Oryzias latipes: one gene and its partners. The protein of the gene in region 1 interacts with the protein of each later gene in a biochemical or structural test. Links are inferred from orthologs where the notes say so. Each region holds a gene or a part of one and is shown on either strand. Other genes may lie near its edges.

Region 1 (5,922 bases):
TAATCAGATTTGTAGTCAATGCTTAATCACTAATGATCTGTCATCATGTCAGCGATCACAGATTATTAGAGATATTTGAGGCTTCTGGAGTTGAAGCCCAGGGCAGCATCGGCAGCAGGACTACAGAGCACGACTGACACACAACTTTACCTGCTTTACGTTGTAGCCCGCTTTCGCACTAGTCTCAATAAACATTACATTTAGTTCTTTGGCTTTCCGTTCGCCCTCTTCAATAGAAACTTGCCTGTGGTAGATAAAGGTGTTGAAAAGATACACAACTAGACAAAACACAGCGTCGCTTAACAAGTCAATCAAATGCATCATTGTAAACATTTGCAATCATGGAAAATGTCAAATAAACAATAGCTTTGGTTATCCTGAAGAACACAGAAAAACAGGGTCATCAGTCGAAATGTGACTTCAAAAGGGAAAGCCTGCACAGAAGATGCAAGAAATTACCTTTTGTCAGCCAGGTCTGTCTTGTTTCCCACCAACATGATGATGACATCACTTCCTCTCTCTGTTCTAACGTCATCAATCCATTTTGTGGTTTGCTGGAAAGAGTTAACGTCTGACAGAGAGACAAAAGTTCATCCCAAATTCAGTGAGGTAGCTTAGCTGTGAAAGCTGCTGGATCGCAGCACAGAAGTCCCATCAGTCTAGTGATGCTAAATCACTCACTCGTGATGTCGTACACAACAACAGCGGCAGCAGAGTCTCTAATATAACTTGGGATGAGGCTGCGAAAGCGCTCTTGTCCTGCTGTGTCCCACAGCTGCAACCTGATCTGTGGGGCAGGAAGAGGATGAAATGAAAAATGAAAGAGAAGAAAAAAATAAAAAAGAAATAAAACACAAAATCAAGATGAAAACAAACAGATAAAGGACCCAGTCAACGCGGCCAAAACGAATATTGAAAGAAAATTCTTTCAGACTAATGGAGAAAAAAAAAAGAAAAAACAGAAAGTGAATAGAAAAGAAGTAACACGTGCATGTTGGGAATGACCATCAGAGAGAGTAAGCTGTCTGGGCCTGGGGGGGAAAGAAATAAACAGTCACCTTTCATTTGTCACCCCCTCTATTGACCAAGTAAGGTGTTTCATTTAAAAGAAATGTGATGATTAATAGATGATGGAAAGGAAAGGAGAGGAAGAAAACTTCAGTTGAGGGAAAAAGAATACAGTGAGGCCTGTCCCGACGGTACAACAGGACACTACAATGTTCTACATGTGCTTTTTGAAGTGAACACTTAAAAAGTCAGGCGCTTAACCAGTCAGATCAGTTGTACAAAAGCTCACCGACCGTGTGAGGTGATTCGGCTTTGCATGGCCTTCACACAAAACCCACGCCAATCAAAACAACAAACAGGATTTACAAGTTAGGATAGGAAACACACAAAACTTACTGTTCTGTCTTCAAGGTACATGGTTTTTGATAGGAAATCTATTCCTATTGTGGCCTGAAAGAGAAAAAGAACTTCATTATACAGCTATAATTGCTTTAAATTAACACGACAAAATACAAGGTACATTAATGCTTAGGAAAACAGGCAGTCTTACTTGGTATGTGTTGTCAAAGCTGTCATACATGAACCTGGTAATCAACGAAGTCTTTCCCACTAAAACAGAAATAAAGATTAAGGGAAAAATTGAACTTTTCAATATCTATATGCATTGATTTAATTTTTTTGTTTAATATTGAGCACAAAATGTAGATTTTTTTAAGAAAGGAACACAGGTTTTATCAAGTAACGGATTTACATTTTATTACGTCGAATCAACAAATGGGTGTAGAAATAACCCCTATATGATAACTACGATAAGTGTTTAGAGAATGCATCCATATAGTCCAGTTTTTTAAGATATGGAATGACATTATTTTAAAATGGAGGGTTGAGGAACAGTCGGAAGAAAGGACTGGGGTCTAGGTATTCAAAACAGGATTTTTTTGTGTGTGAATTTCTAAATATTGTGGCCTAGATTGACCCAAACATGGCATATCCTAAATAAAAAACAGTATGTTAATGATCACCTGTTCAGACTTTATGACATTTCTTTAAAAAAATAATCAATTGAAGTGGATATCCATGTTAGGCAATCCTTCCTGTCCTAAGACTGTTTATTACTCGAGTTACGTTATCAGTTTCAATGAGCGACAAGGGGGACAGTGACATGGCTCAGGCCAACATGACTGTTCACAGAGGTCACAGACGATAACTATCGGCTTTTTTTGGATGACTCGTTCCGTAGGATGAAACACTTCTACTCTGTATTACTCCACATTTCTATTATGTTACTCAATTCCCAGCAGGTTTATGAAAGCGGATATATGGACGTGATCATAACTATCTTACTGAAAGCTCTGAGTCTAACACTTAGGCAGAAAATGTTCTGAATGCAAAACATGTATGCATGTAGATAAATTGTACATTTGTAGATAAATAAAGTCTAAAATAAATATAAACAAATTAAATGTGTGATGGTTTGTGACTGTAAGACGGTTGTTGGTTCTAATCCTGGAAGTAATCACTTAGGAGAAATCCCATTATAAAAACATTAGATATAAATATTATAGGTCCTTCAAATACTTAATGTTCAAATGAAAACATTCTAAACCCACCAGGAGGTTGCTGAACGGAGGAAGGATCTAGGATCCTTACTGTGTGCTTTTAAGGAAACTCTTGCGAGTATGGTAGAGTGAGTTATCTTCCTGTGCTCACGCGGACTATAGGAATTTAGAAGGGTAACATACCATAAATAAATAAAATAAACAAATTGATTAGGACAACACTTTATCTTAATAAAAATACATCATGTAAGTTAGCCTATTATTTGCTAGGTTAAGAAACAGCCTCATAATAAATAATATACTGTCTACTACTTCTTAATAATTTACAACTTTCCACTCTTAACATGTTACATCTTACCAGTGAAAAGACAAGTCAGCAAACACAATGAATTACATGATCAAAACGTGAAGAATGATCTGTGATTATCCTCGGAGTCCGCGTCCACACTACAGGCAGCATGATCAGCAGTGTTTTTATCCGGTTTCAAGTAAACGCAGCTAATGTTAGCTAGCTAACTACAAAGCGGAAGAAAAACCAGGCATCCCGTTAAACTCTGGTTTTCAAAAGGAAAGTTTATCACAATAATATTGATAACATACATTCCTCGTAAAGGGAACCGTAACGAGAAAAACTTACCACTTTGTTCCCCGAGGAAGACCAGTTTAAATTTCCTTAAAGGGTTCCCGAAGTCTCCGGCCCCAGACATGTCGACGGAACCAAAAACGAACCCAGAAGGCGCCCTTAAGTATTAATTCTAACTAAGTAGCTATTGTCTGTTATCAAGTGTATGGTATACGTAAAGTTCAGAAACAAAGTTTGGTAATCAATGACAACTCCTTTAAGCTCCAACACACTTTCAGATAAGTCGGTAACTATTACTGCCAACTGAGCATTACTTCAGACTGTCATGGCTACCAGCAAGCCCCTCCAGACACTTCTTCTGTAGACACATCAGTGTATGATACGTGTGTAACAGTGCTACCACGCCCTCTGCTGGTGCTCAACCAGCAAGGATGGGAGGGAAAAAAATGCCATACTATTTTTTATTACTTCATGTTTCCATACGAGGGCGCGCTAACACCACATTATTATTATTATTATTATTATTATTATTATTATTATTATTATTATTATTATTATTATTATTATTATTATTATTATTATTATTATTCATTTCACATGTTCTATTTTCAGGACTCCTTTTTTTAAAATCCGTCTGATTTCCCATGAATAAAAGTTATACCAATAATGAAATTTTAACCTAAATTATTTATATTAGGTATTAAACCCAAATTCTTGCATGAGCTCTATTAAATACATAACAGTGTGTATAGACTTAATTGATTGTTTGTAAATTTTAAGTCAGAAAATTTTGGGTTTTGATGCAGAGATAGTAGAAATAGTTATAAATTTTGTCATTATAAAGGGGGTCTCATGGGGGACTATTCAGGTACACAGCTGAAGTTCTGCTATGTTTACCAGATGAAAGAATTATGATAAATCTAATATAACATTTTTTTGTTAAAAGTAGCTTAGAAAAAAATGGCATGTAGTTGTATGAAAAAAGTCAAAGCTTTTATTGAGAAAATTTCTGATTTTTACATCTGTTGTAATATGTTCCACATTTTTGCTTTCAAAAATTCCTGGTTGTTAAAATGCTCTGATTACCGAGGGCTTTTGACATTTGTAATGCTTTTGTGGAACATCCTTTTCTCCAACCAGCTTATAGTCATCAAATCTTGTACTCTTTTTACAAATGTTAATGTTTCATTTGGTATCATAATGACATAAAATGGGAATTTTTTACCAGGGATGAAATTTTGACATGCATGATTCTTTATTGTCCAGACTTTGAACAATCGTGATTATTCACACAACATACTGTGTAATATTTGTAATTACAACTAATGTATAATATAATTGTTGTTGTTTCCTTGGGTCTAACCTCATTTGAGTATAACTTTAATGCAATGAGGCTAATTGCAAATTCTCCTAATTTGATATTTTGTATTATTTTTATACAACCCAAATTTTTGCAGCAATACAAAATTGTTTGAGATATAATTTACATAAATACATGTGTAGTGTTTTACTACAGTACAGTCTGCACATTTCTGCCTACCTCAGCTGTTCTAGGTCAGTTAAGAGAATGCACACACCTGCGCCCCTCTTTCATTCTTGTGTCGTCCAGCTCCTCTTACAGCATTTATCAGCTGATGCTGGCACTTCAGCTGCAAGGTTTGTGACCAAAAGCGGAGCTGAAGTGGAGCCATCATGGTTCACTAGCTTGCCCGTCTTCTCTTCTTTTAGCCCTTGTACCGCTAATGTCCTTGGTGAGGGGAAAGACCTCCTCCCATTCCCTCAGAAGATGCTGAAACGACAAAATCTATTTGTCTCCCCACAGCATGTCCTGCTCTTTCCCTGTCTTCCACATGTGAGGGGGAATTTTTTTGTGCATTTTTTTTTACGTTAACAGTTATGTATTGATAATGGGAAGGTGGTCCCACTATTTCAAAGCATAGCAAGAACATCTAATTCTGCAGAATAAATTAGAAAAAGTTGTAATTGTAATTGAAAGTCGCACAATTGAACAGAGGGGCAGCAATAATGAATTGAATAATGAACCACTTCCAGCTATGACTTCATGCTGGTGTGTTGGTCACATGCTTTGTCAGTGCATCATTTACTTCGGCAAATTTTGAGTCGTTGAGATGGGAAAGACCTGTTATGACTCACAGATTGGAAATGACTCCATGGAGTTCTTCGTTTTGAATGTAGGATTCTCTTGTTTGGCTTTTTGTTTTTCTTTTTAGGAAGATAAAAAGTGTTTATCTGCTAGATGTGAGCAGGTTAATTTAATTGGATCCATCTCCCTGCATCTGTGGGCTTAGTGCAGGGCGATCATCACTTTTCCGATCCACCTTCATGTAAGTGTAATGACTGCAGCTTTCAATGTCACAGTAAAGTACAACACAGTGCTCATTTCTCTTGGGACAGGGAGAGAATGAAGGATTACTGTAGGATGTGTGGAGGACATGAAGAAAGGACAAGACAGGAAAAACAGGAAGGGCAAAGGCATTGGGTCAGGAAAAAAAGGGGTAAATTGAAATGTCAGCTAAATAAGTGTAAAATGCTAGAGTGACAAATATTCAATCCACCTCCTGGATTCACTTGTTTGATGTTGTGGGACATAAAAAAATGGGAGCATTTAAAGTGCAGCCCATTTCTCGCACCAGTACAAAGGACTGCAGGGAAGGCAGGGCAGAGGGAACAGTATGATCTGCAACCTGTATATTCTGAGCAGCATCAGAGACATGCACAGCAGTGGGAGGCATTCTTGCAAGCATAAGTGAA
Region 2 (4,055 bases), about 2.2 Mb from region 1:
TCACTTAAAGGCAATTCTGGACAACATATGATGCATTTTTGCTACCAGTGTACAAACAGAAACGTGCTATTTGTTGGGAAAAATAAATAAATGTGTGAAACTTTTCTTACATTCTCACATTAAATACATGCAAACCATTTTTTATGAATCCCATTTTATTCAGACCAAACTGGCTAAATACTAATGTGCAAAACCAGACATTGAGAAGGATGTGAAATATTTACATAAACACAGATCCATGCAGCATATAATTATATATTAAAGCTTATTAGCTAAAGAGCATCCCTACCTCCCAAAAAAAGGTGTCTTTGGTCATGGAAACACTGCAGTCAAGCTGATAATGTTTGAGGACAACTGGATCAAGTTCCTCACCAGAAAAAGAAAAAATACATTTATTTTTCCTTTAAAAACTTACGGCAAGCACTTGGAAATGCCAGTTAAAAAAACCCAAAACGTATAGGTTTCTTCCAATGAATCAGTAACACATTTTTGAATCAAAATAAGATCAAAGCCGTTTCATTTTTATTCAAAACAGTTTAAAAGTTACTGCAAACATGAGCTTCCATTACACTTTACTTTTATTAAAGTCAATGGAATCAGAAATAAACTTTTTTACTTCAGAAGCTTGTACTTTGATGTTCTTACACACATCAGTTTCCTTTTGTCTCCTGCAGCTTTACTGGCTTATAAAGTAACTATCTGGCACGGCAGCAAGTTAAGCAAAAAGCAGGCGATTAACGTATGAGAACAGTATAAAGATAACCAGCAACTTTTCTTTTGAATGATGTGAGAATTTCAGCTCAGTGCTTCGCTCTGACACTACGAGGCGTGAGGACTGGGCTAGGAGGGGGGGTCTGTTGGCGTGACCTTAGAACCCGCATGTATGGGGTGGCGTTGGCTTCTTCGGCGCCGCGGGTGCAGTATCTGGGTGTTGGGGTTCGCGGCGGGAACAGGGACTGGAAAAAGGGACGCTTCTGTGGCGGGCGGTTTTCCGTGTCGCCGGTGGGCGTGCAGCCCCGCTTTTTACAGAAGCCCGATGTGGTGGGCGTGGCGAAGCCCGCCGGTTGCAGCTCAGGGCGGCCCATCTGGGTCTCCGCTTTGCGCCGTAGCTCAGCTTTGACCAACATCAGGCCATTCTGCAGCTCCGTCAGGATCTGGTTCTAAGAAGAAGTCAGTTGGTTAGATGAGACTAGAGGAGGAGATGCGGTTGAACGTGGGGAGGAAGTAAGACAACAGTGCAGCATGCTGTAGTACGCCACCAGGAGAACGTGTTAGAACCCTAGGTTTAGTTTTAAAGATGCCTGTGCATGACAAGGGGTTAAAGAGAGAATTTAGGGGGGAAGAAAGAGATTTAAAGAGAATTAAACACCTGAACAGTTACGTTCTAAATGCTGTAATGATGGCTTGCTCACATCTGACATGAAAAGCTAAGAAAGTGTAATGGCACATATTTTAAGCCTTTTTTTCCTGCTACAGAAGACCGAGCACACCAAGAGAGTCAGAGTGTACAGAGGGATTAAGCTCTCCTGGCTGTAAGCGGCTGTACCTGCTTAACAAGTGTCTCATCTGCAGCCGTTAATGTGTGGCGCAGCCTCTCCCCGCCCGTGTTGCGACAGCAGGCTCTCTCCCCAGACTGCAGCTCCTCTCCCAGCCTCAGCAAGTCCAGACGCAGCTGCCGCAGGTTCTGTTGGAGAATGAATCACCTTTATTCGTACAAATCACAAATGGAAAAAAAAAAAAGAAGTCGACAGTGGACTGACCCTTTGACAGCCCTGCAGCTTGCGCTCAGCTGCACCAGTGACAGTTCCAGCTGAACCAGGCACTTCGGACTGCGCCCTCAGCTTCATTAGTTCTGCGCATTCAAACAGATTAAGACACTCAATATTTAGCCGATTTCACATAACCTTTTTAAACATGCATGAAAAAATGAATTACCTTGAGTCTTGGCGAAAAGCTCGATGCGACACTGTTCAAGTTCAGCTCGCAGTCTGCAGACGTCGTTGGAGCTGAGCCGCTGCGACCGCCGAGGACAATCAGAGTCTCCTAAAGGCTCCAGCATAGAGACCGGTCCTTCCGCTGCCTTCTTTTGTTCTTTTAGAGCTGCCTTTAAAGCCTCAATCTCCTGATCCCGCTCCTATGAAACATCCATACAGTGATTTTAGACACATGGGGGTTACCCTGACCCTCTATGAGGAAACAAAACCTATAACTGTTAAAAAAAAAAAAATAGAAAATCCAAGTCTGACCTCGAGCTCTCGGCTGTAGAATTTCTGCAGATGTTTCTGCAGGCAGGCGATCTTGTTTTCATACAGCTCTTCAATCAGACCTTTCTCAGTCTCTAGGGTTTCCCTAAAAGAAAGCAACTGCTAAGCACCTGAAGCCGTCTCAACAAAGAAAAACGTGTACTTATTGCATACTTTTACTTTTGAGTCACTGACACAAAAAAGAATCATGGATGTAATGTTTCTTTTGATAGTTTAAATTCAACTGACCCCAACTGACTTTTATTGACAACTAATTCTGATTGTTATTCAAAAAACACATACTTGAAACCTTCCTGCATGTTGGTGATGACTTCCATCATCTCAGAGACCACCTGCTCCCTCACGTTGGCCTCCAGAGCCACTTTCTCTTCACGCTGGCGCCGCACTTCTCGCTTTAGGACATCAATTGCTTGCAGCAAAGTCTTAAAAATGTAAAACATTTAAACTATTTAAAAATGGGAACAATTTTTCAGATATGAGATGTTCATCTTAAATATTCCATAACACTTGCAAAATGTTGTAACACTCAAAGTGAAATCAGATTTCTCAGAAGAAAATTACATCTTTTTTAAGGTCAGAGATAAAACAGAACACCAGGAATAGATCCAACACATTTACCTCAGTGTTTAACATGGTGATGTCTCCGTCTTCAACATCACTTTCTTCCTCTTCTTCCTCCATCACAGTGCTTTCGTTCCTGTTGGCCGTTTGCTCACGAAGCATGGACAGAATGTAGGCCACTCTGGTCTTAGTAGATGGGCCGTGGACGAGCTGCAAAAGAACGGTTTTATTTCATTTTTGTCCTTTTATGCAGTGCTAAACCAGTCCAGTTGTCGAGGTAAAGGACTCGTTTTCTGACCTGCGTCGCAATTGCAGAGAACTTGAGGACCTGAAGGGTTTCGTCGTAGGTGGAAGCACATGGGTTGATGTTGACCACCATGCAAGAGGTTCCCCGCCCACAGAAGAAGCCCTGCAGGACGCGCGTCAGTTTGCTGTCCCTAAAGGGTACCACTTGAGGTGGCCGTGATCTATTGACGGGATACAAAATACTTTGAATATCCCTCACTCAACAACTCAGCTCCCACATTTTGTTCTGCTCGGTCCAACCAAAGTGTCAGTTTTACACCTACTTGTTCTGGTTGTGCCTCAGGGCGCTGATACAGCGCCCCAGGGTCATAAGGGAGGTGTTGATGTTGGTGGCTTCCTTCATCCTTTCTCCAAGACGCTGCTCTTTGCAGCGTTCAGATCCGGCCAGATCACACACAGTCAGCCTGGAAAGTGCATGATCAAAACATGGCAGCGCCCAAAATAATGTCACTGAGTTTGAGCTTGCTGCAGCTGAACTTACTCGCTGATTTGCAAAGCTTGCCCTGGAACTGCATCGGGGTGGACGTGCAGAACGCGGATGGAAAAGATGCTGTGGCTGAATTCATGAATTAACCATTAGATATGCTACAAAAAGAATTCAAAACAGAAAACCTCTTGCTGGGGTCCTACCTTCTGCTGGAGTTTTGATTAAGATGAGTGCTGGCAAAGCTCTGGTTTCGACATCCAGCTTTTAAAACCTTCCAGGCTTCTTCTGCGCTCCGCACCTGGATCCAGGTAAGGTCTGTGGCGATGAAAGGGGAAGAAGAACTCAACGTTATGTATACATGTTATACAGTCAAACACAAAGCAGAGACTTGTTCCAGAGGACCAGCTGGTGTTACCTTTCACGTAGGGGTTGCCCTGCTTGTCGTCACTCAGCCGCAGTGTGATTCTTTTTCGGGACTGCAGGGAGAGTGAGGTATC
Region 3 (4,434 bases), on another chromosome or scaffold:
CCTGAGCGTTGGACACCACTGAGCGACTTAACGTCACCTCCGTCTGCAGCTCCAGCAAGCGGCCCATGTAGTAGGCCTCTTTGGAGGCTGACTCCTGCAGCAGCGTCTCCTCGATGGTCTCTCCATCTTCAGCCACTTTACGCTGGTTGCTGTACGCTTGGCCAAACGCCTGAGTGAGTTGAGGAAGAAAGAAAAGTCGTTAGAATGATGCCTCTGCAAATTGCAATCATTAAAATGACATTATGGGGGCCGCTAAATCTTCTTCCCCTACCACAGCACGGCCTGCTCACTTCCCACCAAAAATACCTGCTGTCAGTCTATACAGGGGTGATGTTTCATTTGATCAATAGACACAGTGTTCCCGTTTTCCTGACACAGGTTTTCACAGCCGCCAGGGCTGACCTGTCACGATAAAGGCGCTGAGGCTTGATTGAGAAAATCAAAGCAGGCATCAACAAGACCAATCAAGGTGGATCGGAGCCACTCGATCTGGCTTCATTGTTCTGCACAAAAGCTTTATGGGAAATAAAAATGCTGCTGTTCTGTTTGTTTTTTTCATGTGTGGAAACTGCTCACACTCTGACATCCATGCAGCAGATACTCTAGTAGCTCAATAAATCCTCTGAACCATCCTGGATTTTCTCAGCACATCAGCAGGAAGACAGGCTCTGGAGCCGGCAGGGGGCTCTTTGGGAGACGATGGATCAATACAGCTGCATGTGGAAAATATTTCATGGATTACAACGACCGCATAAAGATATATAAAGGATAGATGAATCATCGTTCCCACAGCTGCAATTAGCCAAGCAAAGTGTATTCCCCCAAACCAAAGAATGGTATTTGAATAATGCATGAGTAGCAAGTGTCTGGTAGCATTCAGAAAACTGTAGCTCTGCTGCTGTTGTTTCAAAATAAAAAAAAACAATTGAGCTAAAAATTCAAGAAAAGGCATTTTTATTATTTTTTTACAACATTATTTTCAGTTTTAGGCACTAAAATTATGATAAATTACTGGTTATCCCAATAAGTAGAATGGAAAAGAATGTTTTAATGTCATCATACAAGAAAACAAAATTTAAGGCAGGCATCATGCATTCAGGAAAAATAAAACATAATAGCAAAACCAATATAAATATGTATTTGAAAGGCTACATTCAGCAGCCTGATAGATTATGGGTAATAACTAAATGCACAAATCGTCTAAGAAGGATATAGGGATTAACCCTGGAGAAGCAACCACAATTTTCTTCTGGGCTTTTAAAATTATTTTGATTTTCTTTTTTTGTTTGTTCAGTTTGGGTAGCAGCAATTAAAAGGAGCAAAAAAAAAATTTAGATGAAAGAATTACAAAAAAACCAAAAACAAAGTGGTCAAATTTGACTCGGCAGCTTCTTCCATGAAGTCAGTTGCCTTAATACAAGTGGGTGGAGACTGCTGGCCCACCATGTCAAACATTAAAACTGCTTGATTGACAGATTTCATGTAGGGGGGGTAGGGGTGATTGGTGAGAGCGTTTGGCACAGTGACACAGGCTGATTCGGACCGTTCACTGCTTACTAATGTTGTCTGGTTCCAACATGGCGGCATCCACATCACTAAAAAATAGCAACTAATTGACTTGAGGCCTGAAGTAAACCATTTTCTATGGGTGACATCACACTCCCTCGTTCCAGTTCTCATATGCCTCGTTTCCACTGAGCGGTATGGTACGGTCAACTCCAGTCCGGTATTTTTAGCGTTTCCATTAAGCTGGACCATTTTTTAAGGCCCCGTTGGTTGAAGGTCCATAGAAAAATGGAATGAACCGGTAAGGGCGGAGATACTGTTGAAACCCATTGATTACGAAAAAAAAAAGCTCAGAGAAAGCAGTTCTTTTCCTCTTCGCCGCCCGCAGTCTTCTCTCACACAACATGAAATTATTTGCATCAACGAAGAACCAAAAGCCAAGCGGAAAAAACTGAGCTGACCTCCGTTGTTGTCGTTATGACGGTCCAACTTTGAGTGGAAACACTCACCTGAATTGCCTGGACCATTCTAAACTGGACCGGACCATACCACTCAGTGGAAACGGGGCTAAATAAATGCATTTGACCTACTTTTAGAACATCGTCGTAAGGAACCAACAGATTAACATGAATGAGAGGTAAACGGTAGATCTAGATAGGTTGCACTGTGTGGCCGATCAGATCGTTCCTATTCCAGTGAACCAATGTGTTGAATTTGATTCATGGCGAGGAAGTGATATTAATTCACTCAACTGTAGGATATTTAAATTTGTGTGAAGCCTTTGAATTACAAAGGAGCGCTTAGCATTTGAATGAGGGGAGCAATCTCCAGCCCTGTAAAAGGCATGTCAATACACAAAACGATGCCCTCTGGGATTTGCTTTATATCCACCAAAAGAATGAAAATCTTCCTTTTTTTCCCCTCCCGGTCTCTACACATCTGTTACTCTTTTATTTTTCGCTCGTTCCCCCTCCCTTGCTGGGCCCACAGTGCCCTCTGTTGCTCTCCAGGGAAGCACAGTGGGATTGTGGTGTAGAATGGGAGAAAAAGCCTGTTGGAACAAATCCACTGATTAATTCTGCCCACAGGCCCCCTGAATGAGCTCGCACTCCCGCGCTGGACGTCCCGTTTAAGCCCCGCAGCAAAACATCTGAGCCCCGCAGGTGTGTGGAAGGACATTTTCACCCCACATTTGCGAGGTGAAAACTGATCATTTGGAGTGGGATGGGGTTTTCTTGGTTGCCAGGCAACCAAGAACCAATTTGAGAGGGTTTCTGCTCCTGGGCTAGAAAGGATCTGGCATCCAAACAGCACAGACAAAAGTTGCCATTCCTGTTGGTGCTCATTTAAGCTTCCAGCTTCATCCTAAGCACAAATATGACTGATAAATTACAGCATAATGCATTAGTGACCTGATAAAAGCCAAGATGACGGAGACTTCTTTTTGGTTTAGTCGATGCTAAACAGGCCAGAAACAGAATTTCCGATGATGAATCAGAAGCTACTCATCCAAAGAAGCAGTGGCTCTTAGATGCATAATGAGAGGCAGATGGTTTCATAAAAGCCCTCCTTCACGGGATGAACCACAATTCTCCAGGTCCTCTCCTCCATCTGCGAGCTGCTTGGAGAAAACGTCAGGGAACTGCAATGATGGCAATGACTTCCTGTTTACTCCTGTCTGCTTTGCCCCCATATGACGTCTACAGGCAAAAATAACAGCGACAGAACTGTGCTGTGTGTCAGCGATGACACCAAATGCTGTATAGAGACGCATCTCCAACTCTGGGGGGGGGTCCTTCTGCAGTGGAAATTTTTTTTTTTCAAGACGAGAATGATGGAGCCCCTCATTGATCTCTTTGGATCTTTGCATTGAACGCATCATTTTGTGTTCAGTATGCCTTAATAGTGGAAGTCCAGACAACGGGGCCCCTCTATGAAAATATTCATCCCTGGGGCGATAGCAGGAGCAGCAAAGCAGTGTAAGGGGGGAGGAGCAGGGAGGACCAGTCCTTTCCTGTGAGCTCCGGGCGATAATGAGGAATCGAGGAGGTCTCCAGCTGGAATTTATTTTATTTACCATTGAAAAGAAATAGAGGAATCATTGTTTTGATTCAAACTTTCCTTGTTATGGGATGTGAAACCCTTAGTAGTCTCTGCTCTCATCGGTGCATTTGTCAATCACATGGTTTGTTTAAATGATGCCGGAAGGTATTTTGCTTTGAAAGTTTTGGTATAAAACAAACATAAAGGGAGCTTTGATGCATAATTATGACACAACTCGGAATATATCCTTAGAACATTTACATAGTTTATACTGTTGTCTTTTTTTCCCTGCATGTTTATTTTTTACATTGTTTTAGCTTTGTTTTTGGATTTTCTTATTGTCATTTTGTTTGTACATTTAAAAAAAATGTTTAAATTAATCTCAGTTTTGCAGTAAATAACTAACAATATGTAACAGTTCACTTTTTTTCCTGTTCAGTTTCAAGTTTATCATGCAATTATTGTGTGATTTAATAAAACATTTGTTAGTAAAAAAAGAAATTCTGTGGTTCTGCTAAAAAGACATATCAAGCATTGCCATAAAAACTATTTTAAAGGTCAATCATTCCAGCAAACTGTGAAACTCTGGGCTACTAAGGGTTAACATGTGACAGAGTCTATGAGGGGAAGCTTTGGCGAGCAAGCACGAATGGTAGTCCAAATTTAATATTTTAGGACAGACAGTGGGAAGTTATACAAGAGGCTGGACTCACAGTGCAGAACTTGTACAATCATGTTTTCAAACACTATTTGGCCAAAAAGTACTTGGAAAACAGGAAATGTTTTGTGTCTATTTTACATCTGAACCAGCATGTTAAATATAAATGGAGTTCCCCAAGGCTCCGTCCTGGGTCCACCTCTATTTAACATCTAAATGCTCCCACT
Region 4 (4,434 bases), on another chromosome or scaffold:
AGAACCAGTTCTTTCAATCTGCTACTTTTTTCATGTTCATTTTTACTTTTAACTTTACTATTCTCTCTCGTGTTTTAACACTAAAACTAAAAAGTCCTCCAGCTTTGTTTTGTTTTCCCACCAAATCCATGTTCACTGAGATTCACCTTTGCTTCTTGGCTAATTTATTCCCTGATTTCATGCGTACACATGCAGAGATTAACCTGGATTTACAGATATCCATGTGATCTGACAAAAAAGATCCCCAATTTTTAAATTTGCATTGCATTTGCGCAACAACAAATACGTCAGATGAATTTTTAAAAGGATTCCAACAAAGCTAATTTAGCAATTTAAGTAATAATGCTTTAAGCAACCTGTAGGAAAAACAAATCACAATGTTGTTTATGCTGTTTTATTTGGATCAAATGATGAATGTGAAGCGAGTGTTTGGTCTCCTCACAAATGTATGAAAGGAAAACTTTGTAAATGAAGTGACCAAACCATGCAGACACGTAGAGGGAAAAACAAAGGGGTCCTTCACCTTCCCTCACTTCCATTTTTTTTATTTTTATTACCAACTATAACCAAACTTTAAGTGCTTTTTATTATTCTAATAACAAAATAGATTTCCACTTAATATGTACATGAAACGATCCCCATCTAGATAAAAACAGAGTTCCACCGCTGTCTCATTAGATTAGTAAGCAGCAGGTTATGATAATATCTAAGATCAAACTTTTAACCTAAATTCATAGTCATTGGCTTTGTTTATCAAAGGTTGATGCTGCATTTAAAGGTTAATTCCTTTCAGAAGCTCAGTGAGAGTTTGAATTTGGGTTGAATTTCTTCTTTGTGGTGGTGATTTATTAATCCCCCCCCCCTCTCATGTTTTTCAGCTGCATTGAAATTGATTAAATCCAAACCAATGGAGCCTCTTCCACCAAACACTCACAGGAGTCCAGTTCCCATCCCGCCTCAAAGAGCGTCTGGGAGATCTGCGGCCAACCAGCCTGCATCCAGCGGCAGCCTGCAGACCGGCTTCAACAGCAGCACTTCAACAAATCAAAACACAGGTAACAAGATACTGTACTCACATTCAAGAAGATGTGTCAACAGAAGCTCTACCTTCCTCTAAACCTTAAAACTCTTCCTATGATGTTTTTTTTCTTATCCACTCCTTCATTGTGACGTTTTCTTAAAGATCCAGTTCAATCGCTTGCCTCAGACTTTGGATTCGAGCAGAACTTTTGCCACGCTCTCAAAGTGGAAGAGAAGAAGAACCACCAGAATCGGATCACTGCTAGCAGAGAACCTCCACCTGTCCCCTCTCTGCCCCCCCGCAAAACCCCGTCGGCCCCAACAAACCCCGTTCCCCCCGCTCCCATTATGAAAAGCAAAGCTACCTCCTCAGTGGGTTTCGACACCTCGGCAATAAGCGGCGCCAAATCAGAGTGAGTCTGGTGTAGAAAGGGTTCATCACAGGAAGCTCATCCTTTTAAAACATTGCTGATTTGAATTTGATGGGGGGGGGGGACAGATCTCTGTCTTGGTGTGACAGCCCCACCAGCAACAGCATGAGAGACACGGTGTTCCTGAGCCAGACGGGCCAAAGAGAAATCCTCCTCAAGCACATCTTGTCAAAGAGAGAGAACGAATATGTGGACATCAAGAATTTCAGGTGAAAAAGCTGGTTGAGGTAGATCTGCGCTTGTCGTCTCATTCCATTCACTAAATGTTGCTCTGCAGGTTTTTTGTAGGAACATGGAACGTAAATGGACGCTCTCCTGACAGCAGTCTTGGACCGTGGCTGTCCTCTGACCGTGAACCTCCAGATATTTATGCTATAGGGTCGGTAAATATTCATTTTCCTTAATCATTCTTAACATAAAAGTATATTTGTTGCCATCAGCTCCTGCCTGGGGAGCTATCAGAGTTTTGACACGCTCGTTTACTCTAGTTTTCAAGAACTGGACCTGAGCAAGGAGGCTTTCCTTTACATGGATTCATCCAAGGAGCAACTTTGGATTGATGCTGTGGAGCGAAACTTGCACCCAAAAGCCAAATACAAGATAGTGAGTATTAAAAGTGGATGATCCGCCTGTTTGAACTCCAGAAAAACTGCCCTAGATGAAGACCAGGGGTCTGCAACCTGAGGCTCCATAGCCACATGCGGCTCTTTTACCCCTCTATTGTGGCTCTCTGATTGGAGAAAAAGAAAAACGTTTTTATTGAAAATGTCATGTATCTTTTTGGACAATAAGGCACATCCAGCGGAACAAAAATGTCAAGTCAAACTTTATTTAACTCCCCCAAAAAAAGTAGAAGCATGCAGGAACATTTCACTCCAGGAGGCTCCTGACTACTGTACCCATAATGCTCCAAAAATCCATCAAGCAATGCAACTTCATAGTTTACCAAAGACATACTAAAACATTTGGACAGAGTTTTGGATCACAGAAGATCGGACTTGGAGATCAGTAAGACAACCAGAATTCCTACATGGGGGCATTAGGCGGATTTCCTATTTTCAGTACACTATGGTCCAAAAAATACGGTAGAGCAAACAACGGTAAAACATAATGTGCATATTTTTCTGACATTTCACTACCTACTTCTAAATTTGCTGCATTGAGATGATCCTATATGCTACAGAGTGTTAAAAGTTATAAACTTAAAGAAAAAAACGTCTGTTTTCCCTTTATGTTTTTGTTTTATTTATCCGGGAAGAAAAACAAGTTTATTTATGTTTATCATAATAGTAACAATGCCATAAATATAAAGCTGTGTCTTATTGTTTTCAAGGGTAAAGTAAGACTTTGTGACTTCTATTGGGTGGTAATCAGTTAGAAATTGACCCGATTGTTTCTTGAAGGTTGCAGACCCATATGATAGGCCAAGAAAAGTTTGCTAAGCTCACTGGGTAATGGTTTTTACAGATTCAGATCATCCGGTTGGTTGGGATGATGCTTGTGGTTGCTGTAAAGAAGATTCATGTGCGGAGCATAACGGAAGTAGCTTCGGATCACGTGGGCACAGGAATTCTGGGGAAAATGGTTGGTTCACTTTCTATTTGGATTCAAATCTGTTTTCACAATTAGATTTCTTCCACTAAATAACAAACCCGTTCATTGTGTGTTTCAGGGGAACAAGGGAGGAGTTGCAGTGCGATTTGTTTTCCACAACACGAGCTTCTGCTTCGTCAACTCCCACCTCGCAGCAAAACTCGAGGAAACCGAACGTCGCAATCAGGACTACAAAGACATTTGTGCTCGCATGATCTTCAACATGCCGGGGTCTCCTTCTCTCAGTATTGTCAAACACGAGTGAGTTTCTCAGGGTCTAGCTCTAAATTAGTCTCTTTTTAATCTAAATATTTGTAACCATTGTATCAGACTGTTAACCGTTTAACAGCGGAGCTTTGAAGCTGAGAAAATCAGCTTTGCATGGTTAAGGAACACTTTACGTTAGTAATGTGTTGCATATCAGAAAAGCCACTTTTCTCCACGTTAGAATCAACTGATCCAGGTTGATCACCTATACCAGGGGTTCCCAAATCCAGGCCTCGAGAGCCGGTGTCCTGCTGGTTTTCAAAAAACCCCCGCCTTATTTGCTGCTGATTACCTGGATCAGGTGTGCTTAGCCAATAAGGAGCTTCAATGGCAGGTTGGAAAACATGTAGGACACCGGCCCTCGAGGCCTGGATTTGGGGACCCCTGACCTATACAGACAAAGAGTTACAGTATGCCAAGGCGTGTGTGTTATTTAGGTGTTGCCGGTGACATGCCAGGTGCTAAAAAGGTTCAACATTTTAAAACCAATATGATTTTTCTGAACTTAAGTTTACTAAAACGCTGTTTTTATGTGTCTTAGTGTAGTAATCTGGCTCGGGGACCTGAACTACCGCCTGTTTAACAAAGACTGCGGTGACGTTAAGCGGATGATTTCTGAGGGTAAACTGAAACAGCTCCTGAAGTTTGACCAGGTAAGAAAGGGTCTGACAGCTTTCTGTAAACTAGTTGTGCCCTGATACCTTGCCGTCTTGCCACACAAGAAAAAAAAATCACAATAAAATGAAATAAAAAATGTAAATGAAATAGAAATTTGGATTCAGGAAAAGTCATTGGAAATAAAAAAAAATCTTTTGTTAAGGCTGGCTGTCAGGAAGGAATGAAACAGAATGTGACAAGAATGAACAATGTTTTGTGTTTGTCTGTTGTGCAGTTGAGCATTCAGAGACAAACAAAACGGGCCTTCTCTGACTTCATAGAGGGAGAGATCAACTTCATACCCACCTACAAGTATGAGCCCAAAACAGACTTTTGGGATTCAAGGTGAATATCAGTGGGATTGTATTTAACTTGTTTTTGACGTAAAATTCTAACAAAGTTTGTCCTATTTTTAGCTTTATACAGTATTTTTTTATTGGTCATGAGCTAATCTTTTAATTCCTAT

Evidence for each region.
Region 2: the proteins of rab6a (region 1) and kif20a form a complex in vitro, tested with the Homo sapiens proteins (2 studies listed by BioGRID). The link is inferred for Oryzias latipes from reciprocal best matches to the Homo sapiens genes RAB6A and KIF20A.
Region 3: the proteins of rab6a (region 1) and protein bicaudal D homolog 1 form a complex in vitro, tested with the Homo sapiens proteins (3 studies listed by BioGRID). The link is inferred for Oryzias latipes from reciprocal best matches to the Homo sapiens genes RAB6A and BICD1.
Region 4: the proteins of rab6a (region 1) and ocrl form a complex in vitro, tested with the Homo sapiens proteins (2 studies listed by BioGRID and IntAct, with this or other methods). The link is inferred for Oryzias latipes from reciprocal best matches to the Homo sapiens genes RAB6A and OCRL.

Annotation. Positions count from the first base shown.
Region 1 is NC_019872.2:16,402,520-16,408,441, reverse strand, and holds the start of rab6a (ras-related protein Rab-6A), read right to left. Parts: upstream 3,523-5,922; 5' UTR 3,275-3,522; coding exon 3,205-3,274; intron 2,946-3,204; exon of another isoform or gene 2,926-2,945; intron 1,618-2,925; coding exon 1,559-1,617; intron 1,459-1,558; coding exon 1,405-1,458; intron 788-1,404; coding exon 682-787; intron 572-681; coding exon 460-571; intron 245-459; coding exon 151-244; intron 1-150. UniProt on the Homo sapiens protein: The small GTPases Rab are key regulators of intracellular membrane trafficking, from the formation of transport vesicles to their fusion with membranes.
Region 2 is NC_019872.2:14,186,798-14,190,852, reverse strand, and holds the end of kif20a (kinesin-like protein KIF20A), read right to left. Parts: coding exon 3,974-4,055; intron 3,874-3,973; coding exon 3,762-3,873; intron 3,688-3,761; coding exon 3,613-3,687; intron 3,536-3,612; coding exon 3,395-3,535; intron 3,293-3,394; coding exon 3,124-3,292; intron 3,036-3,123; coding exon 2,883-3,035; intron 2,687-2,882; coding exon 2,547-2,686; intron 2,350-2,546; coding exon 2,247-2,349; intron 2,135-2,246; coding exon 1,936-2,134; intron 1,853-1,935; coding exon 1,761-1,852; intron 1,685-1,760; coding exon 1,547-1,684; intron 1,161-1,546; coding exon 801-1,160; 3' UTR 501-800; downstream 1-500. UniProt on the Homo sapiens protein: Mitotic kinesin required for chromosome passenger complex (CPC)-mediated cytokinesis. Following phosphorylation by PLK1, involved in recruitment of PLK1 to the central spindle. Interacts with guanosine triphosphate (GTP)-bound forms of RAB6A and RAB6B.
Region 3 is NC_019864.2:29,416,603-29,421,036, forward strand, and holds part of protein bicaudal D homolog 1, read right to left. Parts: intron 170-4,434; coding exon 1-169. UniProt on the Homo sapiens protein: Regulates coat complex coatomer protein I (COPI)-independent Golgi-endoplasmic reticulum transport by recruiting the dynein-dynactin motor complex.
Region 4 is NC_019868.2:9,852,000-9,856,433, forward strand, and holds part of ocrl (inositol polyphosphate 5-phosphatase OCRL-1), read left to right. Parts: intron 1-878; coding exon 879-1,055; intron 1,056-1,183; coding exon 1,184-1,433; intron 1,434-1,519; coding exon 1,520-1,660; intron 1,661-1,728; coding exon 1,729-1,830; intron 1,831-1,939; coding exon 1,940-2,054; intron 2,055-2,918; coding exon 2,919-3,035; intron 3,036-3,123; coding exon 3,124-3,305; intron 3,306-3,852; coding exon 3,853-3,964; intron 3,965-4,203; coding exon 4,204-4,313; intron 4,314-4,434. UniProt on the Homo sapiens protein: Catalyzes the hydrolysis of the 5-position phosphate of phosphatidylinositol 4,5-bisphosphate (PtdIns(4,5)P2) and phosphatidylinositol-3,4,5-bisphosphate (PtdIns(3,4,5)P3), with the greatest catalytic activity towards PtdIns(4,5)P2.